2 linked regions of the Drosophila melanogaster genome follow. The protein of the gene in region 1 purifies or fractionates together with the protein of each later gene. This does not show direct contact. Each region holds a gene or a part of one and is shown in the gene's direction. Other genes may lie near its edges.

Evidence for each region. Proteins that work in one complex are often made in the same cells at the same time.
Region 2: the proteins of Nak (region 1) and AP-2alpha purify together in Drosophila melanogaster (affinity purification with western blotting; 3 studies listed by BioGRID, with this or other methods). This does not show direct contact.

Annotation. Positions count from the first base shown.
Region 1 is NT_033779.5:18,963,818-18,971,943, reverse strand, and holds the start of Nak (Numb-associated kinase), read left to right. Parts: upstream 1-3,199; 5' UTR 3,200-3,528; coding exon 3,529-3,691; intron 3,692-6,354; coding exon 6,355-6,488; intron 6,489-6,551; coding exon 6,552-6,685; intron 6,686-6,760; coding exon 6,761-7,313; intron 7,314-7,379; coding exon 7,380-7,951; intron 7,952-8,126. Other genes in the region: Tango6 (transport and golgi organization 6), read right to left, coding at 1-464, 525-2,726, 2,785-2,845.
Region 2 is NT_033779.5:406,757-414,731, reverse strand, and holds AP-2alpha (adaptor protein complex 2, alpha subunit), read left to right. Parts: upstream 1-1,846; 5' UTR 1,847-1,907; coding exon 1,908-2,007; intron 2,008-2,073; coding exon 2,074-2,285; intron 2,286-2,494; coding exon 2,495-2,950; intron 2,951-3,013; coding exon 3,014-3,603; intron 3,604-3,671; coding exon 3,672-4,605; intron 4,606-4,658; coding exon 4,659-4,942; intron 4,943-4,995; coding exon 4,996-5,200; intron 5,201-5,266; coding exon 5,267-5,344; 3' UTR 5,345-5,856; downstream 5,857-7,975. Other genes in the region: Polr1B (RNA polymerase I subunit B), read right to left, coding at 6,838-7,975. UniProt on the Drosophila melanogaster protein: Adaptins are components of the adapter complexes which link clathrin to receptors in coated vesicles. Clathrin-associated protein complexes are believed to interact with the cytoplasmic tails of membrane proteins, leading to their selection and concentration.

The DNA of each region.
Region 1 (8,126 bases):
TGAATCATCGTCCTTAATGCCCAACACCTTAATCTGCTTCTGTAATGATTTCTCCTCCAAGGCAGATTGTATCAGTTTTGTGCACTTTTTGTTTAAAATTTTCAGACCGTTTGCAGCATGCTGACGCATTTGAGGATCACAGGATTCATCCGCTTCAATCGCTTTTAAAAGGCGATAAATGGGGAGTAACATTTCCTGGTAATCCAGAAGGTTCTCCATGCCGTTTAATAGTTCAGCTAAGACCAGGACTGCTGCACGCTTAGAGGGAACATATCCTCCGGTGGTTAATTCGCTATTAACAAGTTGGAGTAACTCGTGGAAGAAGTTCTGCACTTGAAAGGCCAAAAGGCGACAAAGCTGGGCAAGATTGGCAAAGGCTGACATCCGGAATTCGTGAACAGGAGACCGGGAGCCGTACATGAAGCAGTTGAGAAGAACAGCCTTGTATCGAAAGCAAAGAGGACCTGGATGGGATTAGTATGAAAGTTTAGGAGTTATTCTTAGCTGTGTAGAACATTGCTTACCCAACTCCTGAGCGACTTTCAGAATAGCTTCACCCACTACGAGGCGGTAGTCTAAGTGAGCCGTCTCTGATAGGTACTCATCACTCAATTTGTCCAGCACATCGGACTCCATCACATGAACAAGCGACACAAAGAGCCGAACACAATTTAAGAAGGTGTAGGATTCCTTATCCTTGAGAGTGGTCAGGGCTAACGCTATGATAAGTTGACCCTGCGCTAAGGTAGCAGGATCTCTTTTTTTCAGCAAATCAATCATCATCTGAATTCCATACACTTGCATGTGGGATTGTTTTTCCTCTATCAAGGACCGAGCTCTTTGAAAAGGTTGTATTTTAACAGCCTCACTTGGTCGCCATGCGCCGTGAATTATTGTAAGCAATGATTTTACAGATTGCTGGATAAGAGGGTTGGAAGATCGAGTACCCAACAGGTGCAATTGTTCTTTCAGTTCCTTACAGGCCTCTGAAAGTTGAATATTCTCACTGCCCTCAAGAATTTCCTGCAAGAGGTTTAGAACGAGAAGTAGGATCTGATCCGTGGTATCTTGCTCTCTAGATCGGTGGACAAGCAAGTCTTTTAGTATATGTAGAAGCTCCTTGGTATGTTGTGATAGCTGAGCTCTTAATGGTTGGTGGGCTACCATTTGGTTTAAAGCAATGAGCAAATCTAGCTTCAGTTGATATTTGGAGTGCAGAAAGTCTTTGAGCTCTGCTTCTGATGAAATAAAATCTACGCTGGCTGAAGATTTATCATTTATCTGTTTAGCTATGAAGCCCAGAAGAGAGAGGAAAACTTTGCAGGTGAGGGAATGATGAGAGCTTGATGTGAGTAGACCGGGCAATATTCTGCCCATATCGTGATCTGCTAGATGATCTTTGTGAGCTACTTTAACCTGAATTTGAGTTGTGTTCATGGAAGGCAGGATTATAATGCGTGGGTTTAAACACTTCCAAGGAGGTTCCTTCTCAATTTCCCATTTAAACAGCTTCTGGAGTATCGCAGGTAATTCGTTTTTCATTTCTCTGTTGTCCAGACAACGCAAAATAATGGCAGAAATCTGCGATGACGCCGGTAATTCCATTGGAAGGCCATCGTAGAGTTGGAGCAGCAAAGGAAGGTAGGGAACGAGTAGATTACTGGGTAAGCAAGCTACGGTTGAAGAACAAAAGAGATGCTGCCATAAGAGAATGCGATTGCACAGTTCCTGGTGATCCATTAAGATAAGGCCATTAATAATGTCTTCTGGGTTACAAAGCGTTTCCCAGTGTTTGAATAATATTTCTTTTATCAGCTTTTGATTTGTATCACTTAAATCGTAAAGTCTTCTGAGCGATAGGACACCGGCGCACATTTTGTCCGCATTCTGCAGATAGAACTTACAATATTCTAGCACCTGGAGAACCATCTTCTCTTGCGCTAACTGAGAAAATCCTTTTCTGGCCACAATACTAGCCACAATTTCCGCATTTCTGGAAGAATTCACATTGGGATTTTGATGCAGGGCCTCAACAAGACTAGCAAATCCTTGGGGTAAGTGAAGCTTTCCTAAGAGTTGACGGTGCAATAATTGGGCCAGAGTTGGGCAGAGAGTCGTAGCTTTAAAAAGCAAGATGTTGCGAAAGAAATCTGCTTTGGATTCATATTGCCAGAGGTAGGCTATAGCCTTATCCAGCAGTGGAGAGTCTTGCTGCACACGTAGACTCACAATGGCCGCCAGTAGATCCCTTTGCACCAGCTCCATCGAGTTGGCTATGTGGTATTGTCGAATATGCAGTAGATTAATAAAGAACTGAATGCTTAGAAGCATCAATGAAAAGTTAGCTTTGATTTTCCCCTGAGCCTCACAAAAGATGGGCGACTTGTAGAAATCCTCATGTAGCTGGCATCGAAGCGAGTAATATGATAATTCTTGGGAAGCCTGGATACACAATTTCAGGTGCGCTACCGAAATAAGATCCTCCTTGGCGTCGCTGTGGAAATTAATGTTCCTCATGATCGAATGTAGCACATGTTGCAATCTTATTATATAGCATATAGTACGATCCGAATCGGGATCAATACTAGATTCGTGATCGTCTGTTAACTGATATTCCAGGCACAGCTCATGCAATTGCTGACCAATCTCGAGTTTAGCATATTTTTCCAAAATTCGCAGGTTGATTTCCAAGGCTTCGGCAGTCCCTGAGTTATTCGCCGTATTTGCTGTCGAAATATTAGTATTAGGGATACTACAATTATTATATGATGTTAACCAATTTACCTAGAGCTTTACTAAACCTTAAACTCTCTAGAAGAGCAAAGTACTTGGCCGTATTTATCATTGTTATCCCAGCAAACTACAATTTTGCGAATTTAGCGACCATTTGCTAGAGATGCTTGTTTACAATTGCACCAGCACAATCGATAACATATTGATAAGGGAAACACGATGTTGGCAGCATAGCTAATTAAAACTGCGCGATAGTTTAATGCAACTGTAGCTATATGTTTTATTGAAAGTAGAACCATATTATCTTTTTAAATTGGATCAAATTACAAAAAATTGTTATCATAAAACCTATTTTGTAAACGGGGATTTCCTTGTTTTCAGAATTTCGAGATTGCAACCAACTTATCTATATATCGATAGGCGGCTGCACCAGCCGCGGGTTGCGCATCTGACTGCAGCAAAGCGCCCTGGTCACACTGGCCCAACAACTCGAGAGCAGCAGGAAAATCGAACAACTTTCTTTTTCCACTGCATTGTGTGTGTGCATGCAAAAACACAAAGTGCGCAGAATAGCTTTATTCAGCTAGCCGATACGACTCGAAAGTGGATTAATTGGCCAGCGGCACCGACGCCCCGCCCACCGTCAGCCGCCCTCGCAAAATTAAAAATTGCCAAAAACACCTACGCGCAGGCAATTAAGACCGTGTTAGCTAGTGTGCGTGTGTGCTCGCGAGTGTGTGTGTGTGTGTTGTGCTGCTGGGGCAGTAAACATTTTCTAGTGAAAATCGGGGGAAAATGAAGAAAATCCTGTCTAAGTTCGAGCGCAATGAGAACTCTCGACTGGAGAATCCGCCCAACAGCAGCAGCTCGTCGTCCTCGAACGAGAAGAACAGCTTCGTGGGCAAGGTCTTCACAGTGGGACGCGTCACGGTCACCGTGGAGGATGTCCTGGCAGAAGGTAGACGACTATATATACACTCTTATATATGTGCTCCCATTCCCCTACCTACAACACGTCGCCCGCGATTATGCTTATCACCTGCCTGATTTACAGGTGGGCAGTAGCCTGCCGTCCGCTTTTCGGTCTCGCCCCTCGTCACAGATTAGATAAACCCCTTCAGCGCGAGAACTCCCAAATGTGGGGCGTACTCAAAGCGCTAGAGAGCATAAAAATCAGCTGCGTATCCTCCATAATTGGGGACACCACTTGTCGCATTTCCGATTAAATCCAAATAAATTACTCCCAATAATTTCTGTATAAGATGTTAAACTCAAAACAGCTAAAATCTGACTTTGATATATTATCTTTTAATAAAACTGTAAAACATTTTAAATTATTTCATTAATTATGAATACTAAATACTGGTTTGTAACCTAAATTCCAACTAATTGAACTGCAATTTTGCCCTTGGCATAGAACTACATATTTATGTCCATAACTCGGCTCTCTAATGGCGTGCAGATATTTCGTCCAAATTTATGTCAGTCTTTAAAGAGTTTATTTTTGCCAAAACCAGAAATGCCAGCATTTCTATTGTGACAAATGGGTGTCCGCGTTAGAGAAACCCGACTGTACAAACACAGTTACGGTTCTGGTTGGTTTTTCCATGGAATACCCATTGAATTCCCGTAGCCACTACACATGGCCACAAATCAATTGAATCAATTATGTTAATTTAGCCAATGAAGCGGCAAGACCAACACTCATCAGCCGACTGTCTCCGACAGTCTTCCGTTTTTCACCTTTCGCCGAGCTAAATGGCAAAGTTCGCCCCTAAGGAAATCGCCTGTGCTGTGTCCTTGTCCTTGAAATGCGGAGTGCTCCACTCCACATCATCCTGCAGTGCAAGTGCCTCCTTGTTGGCCTGGCACCAGTACCCTCCGCCCAACATTTGATCATCTAACGATTGCTCACCCACCGCCTGGCCAGCCATTCGCCACCTTTCCTTTAGCCATTACGTAGTGTTTTTTACTTTTTATACTTTTGGCAAGCGGACTCGATTCGTAATTTTGTTTTGCGCTGCGCTGGCGCCGCTGGCAATTAGTCAGCTGTTGTCGGGCATACCCTGTAATTAAAAAGGCGGAGCGTTTGACGAACACGGTTATTTGGTTAAAGTTATTGAATTAGTATAACAAATTATAAACTAAATTATATATTATTTATTAATTCATTTAATCCAGTAACGTAACTATTGGTATTTCATTTAAGAAAGAGAAAAAATAAATAGAGTCTTTTGCAGATGCTCAATGAATAAAATGCGCGTATAGCCAAGTTTAAACTGCTCGATATGCTGGATACTTCCAAAGTAACACTGTGCTTAATCACCTTCAATATTTACCTGCTTTCTTTGATTCGATTTTTGAGCAGCCAACAACAATTACAAATGACTAAGCGACAAACGGTTAACGAATGAAGCTTTCCCGCCTTAACCCCTCAGCCCCCACCCTTAACCGCTTACTGCCCACCTTGCAGTTGACGCCCCTTCAGACGTATTTTCTACCCTCGTTTGCGTTTCGAATTGCCTTCTCGCGTTTTCTCGCATCGCTACAATTGTGCATTGTTATTGTTGCTTTTCATACTATTATTACTGGATGTTGTTGCTGTACTTTTTGCCAATGTTGATTTGTTGCTGTTGCAACCTTCAGCATTGATTAACATTTGACGCCATAATTTCACAAAGTCGAGCAAAAATGGTTACATTTGCTGGTCCGCTATTCACTTCTCTCTATCGCCTACACAGGGAGAAATGGTGTGTGCATTTACAGCAAATGTTCCATAAATATTTTCAATATTAAAACATTCTCCTAATCGTTGCATCGTCTATGCATCTAATGTATTGAGATCATTTTTTTTTCTAATATCATTTCATTTTATATCTAATATATATTTTTATGTTTTTTTCTTAGTGACCACTGTTCCTATCTTTTTATTTTGCCGCCCCACCGCCTTCCCCCGCTGAGTATTGTTATTGTCGCATGTTATTGTTGTTATTTCTGTACGTGACCTTCAATAGTTTAGTTTATATTGCGTTGCCTTTTTATCGTACATTTTGAAGTGGCGTAAAGCGACAGGTGGAGAGGGCTGAAATGTGGGGGCATTCTACTTGAAATTCTATTTGCAATAAACTGAAATAAACCTCATGCAAATGGCCTGTTAGGCAAAACATGTGTAAATCGTTCCATGGCCAGACAGTAACTGCTATCACTCGAATTCGGGTACCCTCTACTATTTTAACACCACGGGGGGATATTTGTGAACGTGAAATGTTTATAGTAAAGAAATTCCATTATTATCACGTAGATATATGGCATAAATTATGTGGGAAGGAATGGCCAAAGATACGTGTGCTATAAAAATGTGACACATATTTCCTTTTAATAAACAAATTAGTTTATTAATTAGCTACTTCCTGCCATATAAAATAAAATATTCGTATATATGTATTATGAATATACAATAACAGGGTATTCATCGGGTTTAGCTTACTCGCAGTTTCCTCCCCCATTCAAATATGCTATGTTGTTTACAGCTGACAGCTGTTATGGATGTCTAGCCCGTCAACTTACCCCATGCTCTAATGCTCTGTTTTTCTCTTCCCCATCTCTTCAAAACTCACGCAGGTGGTTTCGCCATGGTCTTTTTGGCAAGGGGCAACGGCGGAGGCAGTTCCTCGGCGACCAAGTACGCCCTGAAGCGCATGTACGTCAACAATGAGCACGATCTGAACGTAGCCAAGCGGGAGATACAGATTGCGGTGAGTAAATAAATCGGGACAAACAAACCTAATCTAATAGGGCAATCACTTTCACTCCCCCAGAGCAACCTGAGTGGGCACAAAAACATCATTGGTTATGTGGACTCCAGCATCACGCCCACGGGAAACGGGGTGTGCGAGGTGCTACTCCTGATGCCCTATTGCAAGCATCACATGCTGGCCATGATGAATGCGAGGTAAACGAAGTGAATCTAAAAATGTAGTCCATTTGATTGCGGAATTCGAATGTAATCCAATGAAATTCGCCACAGATTGCACGTTGGCTTCACGGAGCCAGAGGTGCTCAACATCTTCTGTGATATTGCCGAGGCTGTCTCTCGATTGCACTATTGTCAGACTCCGATTATCCATCGGGATCTTAAGGTGGAGAACATTCTGCAAACGGACGCGGGCAACTTCGTACTCTGCGACTTCGGATCGGCAACGGCCAAGACGTTAAATCCTCAACAGCACGGAGTCACCGTGGTGCAGGAAGAGATCCAAAAGTACACCACTCTATCTTATCGGGCTCCCGAGATGATCGACCTGTACGGGGGCAAGAGCATAACCACAAAGGCGGACATCTGGGCACTGGGTTGCATGCTCTATAAGCTGTGCTTCTTTTCCTTGCCATTTGGGGAGAGCACTTTGGCTATCCAGAATGGACAGTTTTCCATTCCAGACTCCTCAAAGTACTCGAAGGGCATGCACCAACTGATTAAATATATGTTGGAACCCGATATGGAGAAGCGACCAAACATTTGGCAAGTTTGCGAGGTGGCCTTTCGACTGGCGGGCAAGGATAATCCCGTTCAGAATCTCCATGTGAGTGATGCATAATGTTTGTGTTCAGATTCCTGTATGATAATCTGTTTGCTTATTTTTAATCAGAAAACTCCCATTCCAAACTTCGACCTACTGGTAGTGCCTCCGTTTGAATCGGAAGCCAAGAGGATCAGTGCAGCGGCCTCCAAGGCGGCGAAGGCTCAGAATGTGTCAGTTGTGGAGGCGGGAACCAGTGTAGCTCCTCGGTCTCGTCCTAAGGGTTCCTCATCGGTACATGGAGGAAATCCATTGGGTCTCGGTTTGCCTCCCAGTCCCTCGCCAAGACAGAATATCACTTCTCCACAACCCCAACCTCAACCTGTGGTCGAGCAGTTCCAGGCCAACTTCCCAGCTATGCCACCTGCTGTTCCTCCACCTCCTCAAGCTGTTACTCCGGCAGCTCCTGCTGCCAGTAAACTCTTCGAGTCAAGTGGCTATCCAGATCCATTCAATGAGCCAGCTGCAGCAGTAATTCCTACTGAATTTCTACCAGCAGCAGAAGAACCTAACAAGGAGGAAGTGCCTCAGGACTTAAACGTCATTGCAGGCACGCCCACCAAGAGCATGTTGACACCGCCCAAGCCAAGCGGAGGAGGTGGTCATAGGCGTAACGTAAGCGACACCTCGGCCTTCAATAAGTAAGTTGCATACAAGAAAACAGAAGCTAATCTAAAATCAAGAATACACATTTTGATTCTACAAATTTTAATTCCTATCTTAGTTACCTGTTTAAGCACAAAAGTTGTGTCTTGTTATCGTTTTTAAAGTTTACTCGGCCAGAATCAATATAATTGCTTTCCCCCAAAGGTTTCA
Region 2 (7,975 bases), about 19 Mb from region 1:
GGCAGCGAGAGCGAAGAAAAATCAATAGAAATTTTCATTTTAGTGAATTGCCCTGCACTTGGTAATAGTTAACAAACAAATTAGCGGCAAATCAGCGAGGCGAAGCTCCAGCGAGTTGGAGTTCCATAAAGTGCAACACGCAGGGTCAAACATTCCGCAGCCAACACCCCGGATTCCGATTCCAAGCGAAGCCAACTTCAGAAGTCAGAGATTACTCTCTCTGCTCCGCCACAGAAATTCCGCAACGCTAACCGATTTTGTCCGCTGGCGAGTAAAAAAAATCGGAAAAGTAAGCTCAAAAAAAAAGAACAGCTAACATACGCCCATTAATGTTTTTGGAGGCTTCTTCGGTGCTTTTTTTTTTGGGCAAAACGCCCTCGTCATCCAGCGGTGAAAAAAGTGACGTGACATGAAAGCAAAGAAAGAAGAGAACCGAAGAGCGCAGTGAAAAACAGAAAATAAAACGAAACGGAAAGCAAAGTAAAAAGTATACTACAGAAACAAAAGCCGGTGGTCGCGCAAATCCAAATAATAATGCCCAAGTGCACATCGACTTCGCCAGGCGATAAAAAGTGGGCGAGCGAGGTCACAGAATCTTTATCAACGGGCAAAACGCTGCCAAGTTGAAAATAAATCGGTTGCCAAAAATGCGGGGGTACACTCTACTTCCACCAGAAAATGTCAAAGTTCGCCAGCCATTGGGTGCACTGGCCGGAAAATCAATCACGTAGTCCACTATTTACCGTTTAAAAGTTCTGAGTTTATTAAACATTGGATTTTTTATACATATAAATCGTTATCAGCGCTTGATGCTCAGTGAAATGTGTGGTGCATACATATTTTGTGGCGTTTTCGTTATCAAAAGTAAAACTGCAATACGGACTTTCAAAATAGAAGCTGTATCAATGTGTTGGCATGCACAATAAGCTACTCCCTGGCTAAATACAAATTGTTATCCAAAATACCTTTTGTTTGAATAATATACGTTTGTTAACACAAATACTAAAACGTAATCATAATACTAAGTTTTCCCATTCCCACAACCCACAATAAATAGAGTATCGTTTCCCCTTTCAGGTCCCAAGGAACGGCCGAGATCCAATCGAAGTAAAAAGAGCTTTGCAGAACCAGAGCGGAGAGCAACTATATATCTTAGGGTCCGACGTCGAGTTCGAGCGATAAGAACGCCTCGAGACTCGGCCGCCATCCATTGACGATTTTCTTGCGCCCCCAGTTTGCATAAAACCAGCGAAAATTAACAAGCTAACTACCATGGCGCCGGTGCGGGGGGATGGCATGAGAGGCCTGGCCGTCTTTATATCGGATATAAGGAACTGTAAGTGCAGATCTCTTGGGTAACCAGCATTAAATCCAATTGAGCGGGTCGCAACAAGAGATTTTCCATAGGGGCGGAATCAGCGCCATTACTTGATCAATTACCAGGAGCAGCGCACTGACAAAAACGTGGGGCGGTACAAAAACGCAGGAACAGTAAGCTCTCTGCCAGATGAATTACAAAATATTGGCTACTTTTCTTCTCCATTCCTATGTAAATGTTTTCGTAGTCGTTACATTAGAAAGATATGAGAAAGTTATATATATAGTTATATATATGGGTACAACACAGCAAATAGTTATATCAATGTGAATCGGTTGCCTCTCAGTATTAATAAATACTTACAATTTTGATAGTTTGATGACTTACTGTAGTACTTCGAAGCGTGCATATGTGTGTGCGCAAGAGTCCGACGCTTCACTGTATGGTATTATTATCACAGCTCGTTGTTTGCTGTATGCTCGGTTACTAGTTTCTGGTTTGTGGACAACATATAGGAGAGCAGAGGTTCCGCTGCGGATCGGTGACTGGTACTAATTGACGCCTATGTGAATCGGAGAAAATCCGCGACATGGAGAGAGCTGAAGGGTGTGAAGTCGTCTCTCCGATCGATCAATCGCGGGGTGGAAAGGAAAGCGAAGCTTCCGCAGACGAATCACTGTTGTTTTACTGTGAATCTCCCTTATACCCGCATAAGACACAAATTTCTATACTAATATTCACCCATTTGCCCACAGGCAAAAGCAAAGAGGCCGAAGTCAAACGCATAAACAAGGAGTTGGCCAATATACGAAGCAAATTTAAAGGAGACAAAACCCTCGACGGCTATCAGAAAAAGAAATATGTCTGTAAGCTGTTATTCATATTTCTCCTCGGCCATGACATCGACTTCGGGCACATGGAGGCGGTCAATTTGCTGTCCTCCAACAAATACTCAGAAAAGCAGATTGTGAGTACCCCAAAAAATTGCTTCAATAATCATTTGTTTATTTAGCGAGTCGAAATAATTGAACTGAAAGCAGACGACTCTGCTTGTGGGAAAAGGGAATTTCATTCAATTAAATTTAACTTGTCGTTGTTTGAAGTTTGATAAAAATAATTAAAAAATTGGTTTTTTAAATTTAATGTTACTGATAAAATCTGTTTTTTGAACTTTAGGGTTACCTTTTCATCTCAGTGTTGGTGAACACCAACAGCGACCTTATTCGGCTGATCATCCAATCTATAAAGAATGATTTGCAGTCGCGTAATCCTGTGCACGTTAATCTGGCACTACAATGCATTGCCAACATTGGAAGTCGGGATATGGCCGAGTCCTTTTCCAACGAAATACCCAAGCTACTCGTCTCGGGCGACACCATGGACGTGGTGAAGCAGTCGGCGGCGCTATGCCTGCTCCGCCTGTTCCGCTCCTCGCCGGACATCATTCCCGGTGGTGAGTGGACTTCGCGCATTATCCATTTGCTCAATGATCAGCACATGGGAGTGGTCACAGCGGCCACCTCGCTGATCGACGCCTTGGTGAAGCGCAATCCGGACGAGTACAAGGGTTGTGTTAATTTGGCTGTTTCACGCTTATCCCGGATCGTAACAGCCAGCTACACGGATCTTCAGGTACGATTTAATGCATTTTTTAAGGTAAGAAACTTCTAATTACTAACTAAATTCGCATTGCAGGATTACACATATTACTTTGTGCCGGCTCCATGGCTATCGGTGAAACTTCTGCGATTGCTGCAAAACTACAATCCAGTGACCGAAGAGGCCGGTGTGCGGGCCCGCTTGAATGAAACTTTGGAGACGATTTTGAACAAGGCGCAAGAGCCGCCAAAGAGTAAGAAGGTGCAGCACTCTAACGCAAAGAACGCCGTGCTCTTCGAGGCCATCAACCTGATCATTCACAGCGACAGCGAGCCGAACCTTCTTGTCCGCGCTTGCAACCAGTTGGGACAGTTCCTTAGCAATCGGGAGACCAACTTGCGCTATCTGGCTCTGGAGTCCATGTGCCACCTGGCCACATCGGAGTTCTCGCACGAGGAGGTGAAGAAGCACCAGGAGGTGGTCATTTTGTCAATGAAAATGGAGAAGGACGTGTCCGTGCGCCAAATGGCGGTGGATCTTTTGTATGCCATGTGTGATCGTGGTAATGCCGAGGAAATTGTTCAGGAGATGCTCAACTATCTGGAGACGGCCGACTACTCTATTCGTGAGGAAATGGTGCTCAAGGTGGCCATTCTTGCCGAGAAGTACGCCACGGATTATACCTGGTAGGTGTTCTCTTTTTTAGCTTGTGCTTAAAAGTCTATGTGCTTTATGACAACCGCTATATTACCAGGTATGTGGACGTTATCCTCAATCTAATTCGCATTGCTGGCGACTACGTGTCTGAGGAAGTATGGTACCGCGTCATTCAGATCGTGATCAATCGCGAGGAGGTTCAAGGCTATGCCGCAAAGACTGTTTTTGAGGCGCTACAGGCCCCTGCCTGCCACGAAAACATGGTTAAAGTGGGCGGCTACATCTTGGGCGAGTTTGGCAACTTAATCGCCGGAGATTCCCGCTCAGCACCACTGGTACAATTCAAGCTACTGCACTCCAAGTACCACTTGTGCTCGCCGATGACCCGGGCCCTTCTTCTGTCCACGTACATTAAATTTATCAACCTCTTTCCGGAAATTCGTACCAATATCCAGGATGTGTTCCGCCAGCACAGCAATCTTCGATCCGCAGATGCGGAACTGCAGCAGCGAGCTAGCGAATATCTCCAGCTTAGCATAGTGGCATCGACAGACGTTTTGGCCACCGTCCTGGAGGAGATGCCATCGTTCCCGGAACGCGAGAGCTCAATTTTAGCAGTGCTAAAGAAGAAGAAGCCCGGCAGGGTGCCGGAGAACGAAATTCGCGAGTCGAAGAGCCCGGCACCCCTGACTTCTGCAGCGCAGAACAACGCCCTTGTGAACAATTCACATAGCAAGCTGAATAACAGCAACGCAAATACGGATCTGCTTGGATTAAGCACTCCGCCATCAAATAATATTGGCAGTGGTAGCAATAGCAACAGTACGCTCATTGATGTTTTGGGCGACATGTACGGCAGCAATAGTAACAACAACTCAAGTGCCGTGTACAACACGAAGAAGTTTTTGTTCAAGAACAATGGTGTTTTGTTTGAGAACGAAATGCTGCAGATCGGTGTGAAGAGCGAGTTTCGCCAGAATTTAGGACGATTAGGCCTTTTCTACGGCAACAAGACACAGGTTCCCCTGACAGTAAGTAAATTAGTTTCTGAAACATTCCAGGCATTACATTGCTCTCTTTTCAGAACTTCAATCCTGTGCTGCAATGGTCTGCCGAGGATGCGCTTAAGCTGAACGTGCAGATGAAGGTGGTGGAGCCAACCCTGGAGGCCGGCGCCCAGATCCAACAACTGTTAACCGCGGAATGCATCGAGGACTACGCCGATGCGCCAACAATCGAGATCAGTTTCCGCTACAACGGCACCCAGCAGAAGTTCAGCATTAAACTGCCATTGAGCGTTAACAAATTCTTTGAGCCTACCGAAATGAATGCGGAATCATTCTTTGCACGATGGAAGAACCTTAGCGGGTATTTAATAAGGTGTCTTTTGATAATATTCAATATTAATTGTGCATTTGTAGTGAACAACAACGGTCACAGAAAGTGTTCAAGGCTGCACAGCCACTGGATTTGCCCGGAGCCCGCAACAAGCTTATGGGCTTTGGAATGCAACTGCTGGACCAAGTGGATCCCAATCCAGACAACATGGTCTGCGCGGGCATCATTCATACGCAATCGCAACAGGTGGGCTGCCTTATGCGATTGGAGCCGAACAAGCAGGCTCAGGTGAGTAATTTATTGTTAGATACTTGGAACATAATGCCTATTGCCTATTTCTCAAATTATCAATAGATGTTCCGACTGACAGTTCGGGCAAGCAAGGAGACCGTAACTCGGGAAATCTGCGATCTGTTGACGGATCAATTCTAAGCCACAACAATCATGGACGGGGTGATGGAGACGGAGCTGCGAAGCCATGGAGCAACGGCAACCACTTTACAATGCACAATCCCAATTACCTAGAGAAATATCAAAGCATACAAGGCCCTAGAACTGTACGCGTTTAGTTATGCCAGGCACACTCCTACACTCTTCTTAAGTACCTTTCATCTTCTCCAACAGCGAGTTGATTTACCCACTGTCCTGTTTATTTGAATATTATGTTTGTAAACCTACTCTTACTTTAACCATTTTCAATTTCATGTTCCCAAACTTTTTTGTAAATGTTAAGCTCAAAAAGTTCATAGTAGAGAAACGAGAGAACATAATTAGATTATGTTTATATGTATGACAAATTATATATTGTTGCATCATTTCGAGGCAGTAGCAATTGGATATTATATACCTATATACAGATCTACATACATTCATACAAACCACATACATATACCTAGTATATACGTCGTTGTAATAAAAACAGAAATCAATATAAAACAAAAGAGAAAAGCTTGCAAGGGAATTATTAAGATGCCTGCAAATGACAAGTATGCAAATCGTTATCTAAATATTTATACATATATTGATTATTGCAATTGCATCTAAACGAAATTCATGTTTAATGTTTTTGATTGTAAAATCCAATGGAGGACCGCAAGAGCAGAAATCTCATTAAATAATAGACAAATAATTAGACAGATCCACAAAATCTCCTTGATTAATCACTGTTGAGCAACTTAAAATTTATTAACGATAGGAAAAATTTCCCTATTGAAGAAAACGAAGCAAAAATTTCAGAATATTATTATACTTATAGCAGAATTTTTTGAATGATTCTGGGTAATATTACGTTTCGTTTGTGTACCATAGATAAACTGAGAGGGGCTACTTCATGTTGTGCCGCTTCCTGAAGAGAAAGCGATCTTTGTAGCACCAAGTATTAACTAATCTGAAGCAGCAGCAGCAGTAGCCGCCAGCCATAAATCTGCTAATGACTCTCTTCAAATGCGAGACGGCTGCCGATAAAGAACAAAGAATTGTAAACTAAAATATACACTATATAGATACTGATACTGAAAACCGATAATGGAAACTGACATCAAATACTTATTACCATTAAACTCTCGATCCTTTCGTAAAAACCAATGTGCATGACAGCTGGAAATTTAGGCATTTCCAAAGTGCAATAGTTAAATGTTACAAAATTCCACACAAATTCCATTTAACACTCACAGACAAAACAAAAGCAACTGCAAGAGCAAGAAAACCAAGCCACAACTACATATAGCAAGTGCAGGAATTTAACTGTAAACGTAAACCAATATGTATTTAAATAAATATAAATTGAAACCATTTGAAAGGTGTTTAAAACGTTTCCACGATCTGGATATAAACACTTGGCAAGCACAGTTGTATTTTACGTATTTATCTTTATTACGATTAGCGCACGGGTTAACATAGGACCTAACAATAATTTTAGATTTAAATCAAATTTCATTTAACTTAAATCTCGCATTAATGTTGACCGAACTCAATTCGGTAACCAGATACTTAAAAGAGAATGGTATCTCGATCATCGATACAGAACTGTTATCCCCGCACAAGCGACACGTATCTGGCTGAGAAGAGAGTCCTCCCGTCTCATTTCGCTTAACAATGCGTTGCAGAGGCGCCAGAATGGAGCCGCACTTGTGGCACACCAGGGTGTGCGTCTTATCGGAGTTGTGGAACAAGCGATCCTGCAGCAGGAAAGCAGCACCGTGAGAGATCAAAGCATCCCGTTCCATCTCACCGAATCTGACGCCTCCACCGCGTTTTCTGCCCTTAATTGGCTGATGGGTCCGAGCTTCCACCGCTCCCGTAGATCTTACTTGCCACTTGTCAAACACCATGTGCCGAAGACGCTGGTAATGCACCACTCCAAAAAATATGTCAGCAGTCATCTCGCGGCCATCTACGCCGGAATACAGCCTCTCCGTTCCGTAGTAATTGTAACCCCCAGCCTCTAACATTTTGCCAAAATAGTCAATAGCAGTATTCTCTTCGGAGAAGCGAAAAGGCGTGGCATCGTAAACATTTCCGTGGATTGCAGCCCCCTTTCCCGCCATCGTTTCTATCATCATGGCGATTGTCATTCGGGAGGGGAAGCCGTGGGGATTGAACACAATGTCTGGAATCAAACCAGATTCCGTAAATGGCAAGTCCTCTGCAGGATATTTTTGTGAGCAAATTCCTTTCTGACCAGCTCTTGATGCAAACTTGTCTCCAATAGTGGCAGGTCGTGGAACCCTCAGTGTGATGGCCACCATTTTTTTTGGCGACAAATCGAAGCTTCCCAACTGTCGGATGCTCTCTACTATGCAATCCTCCTTTTCATCCATTTTCACAACTTTATAAGTGGCGACCTCTCCGTCAAAGTAACAGTACAGGGGCGAACCATAGCTCAATTTGGAGCCCGGATGTGGAAGACCATCCGTGTCAAGATGCTTTATTAACTCCGGCATGTGTGGATGCCTTGCGAAGTAACTGCTCTTCTTGTCCAACGTCAAAAACTTTGTTTTGTAGATACTTCCATAGGCGAATCCTCGTTCATAAGCAGCCTTGTTGATGATCATAGCATCTTCC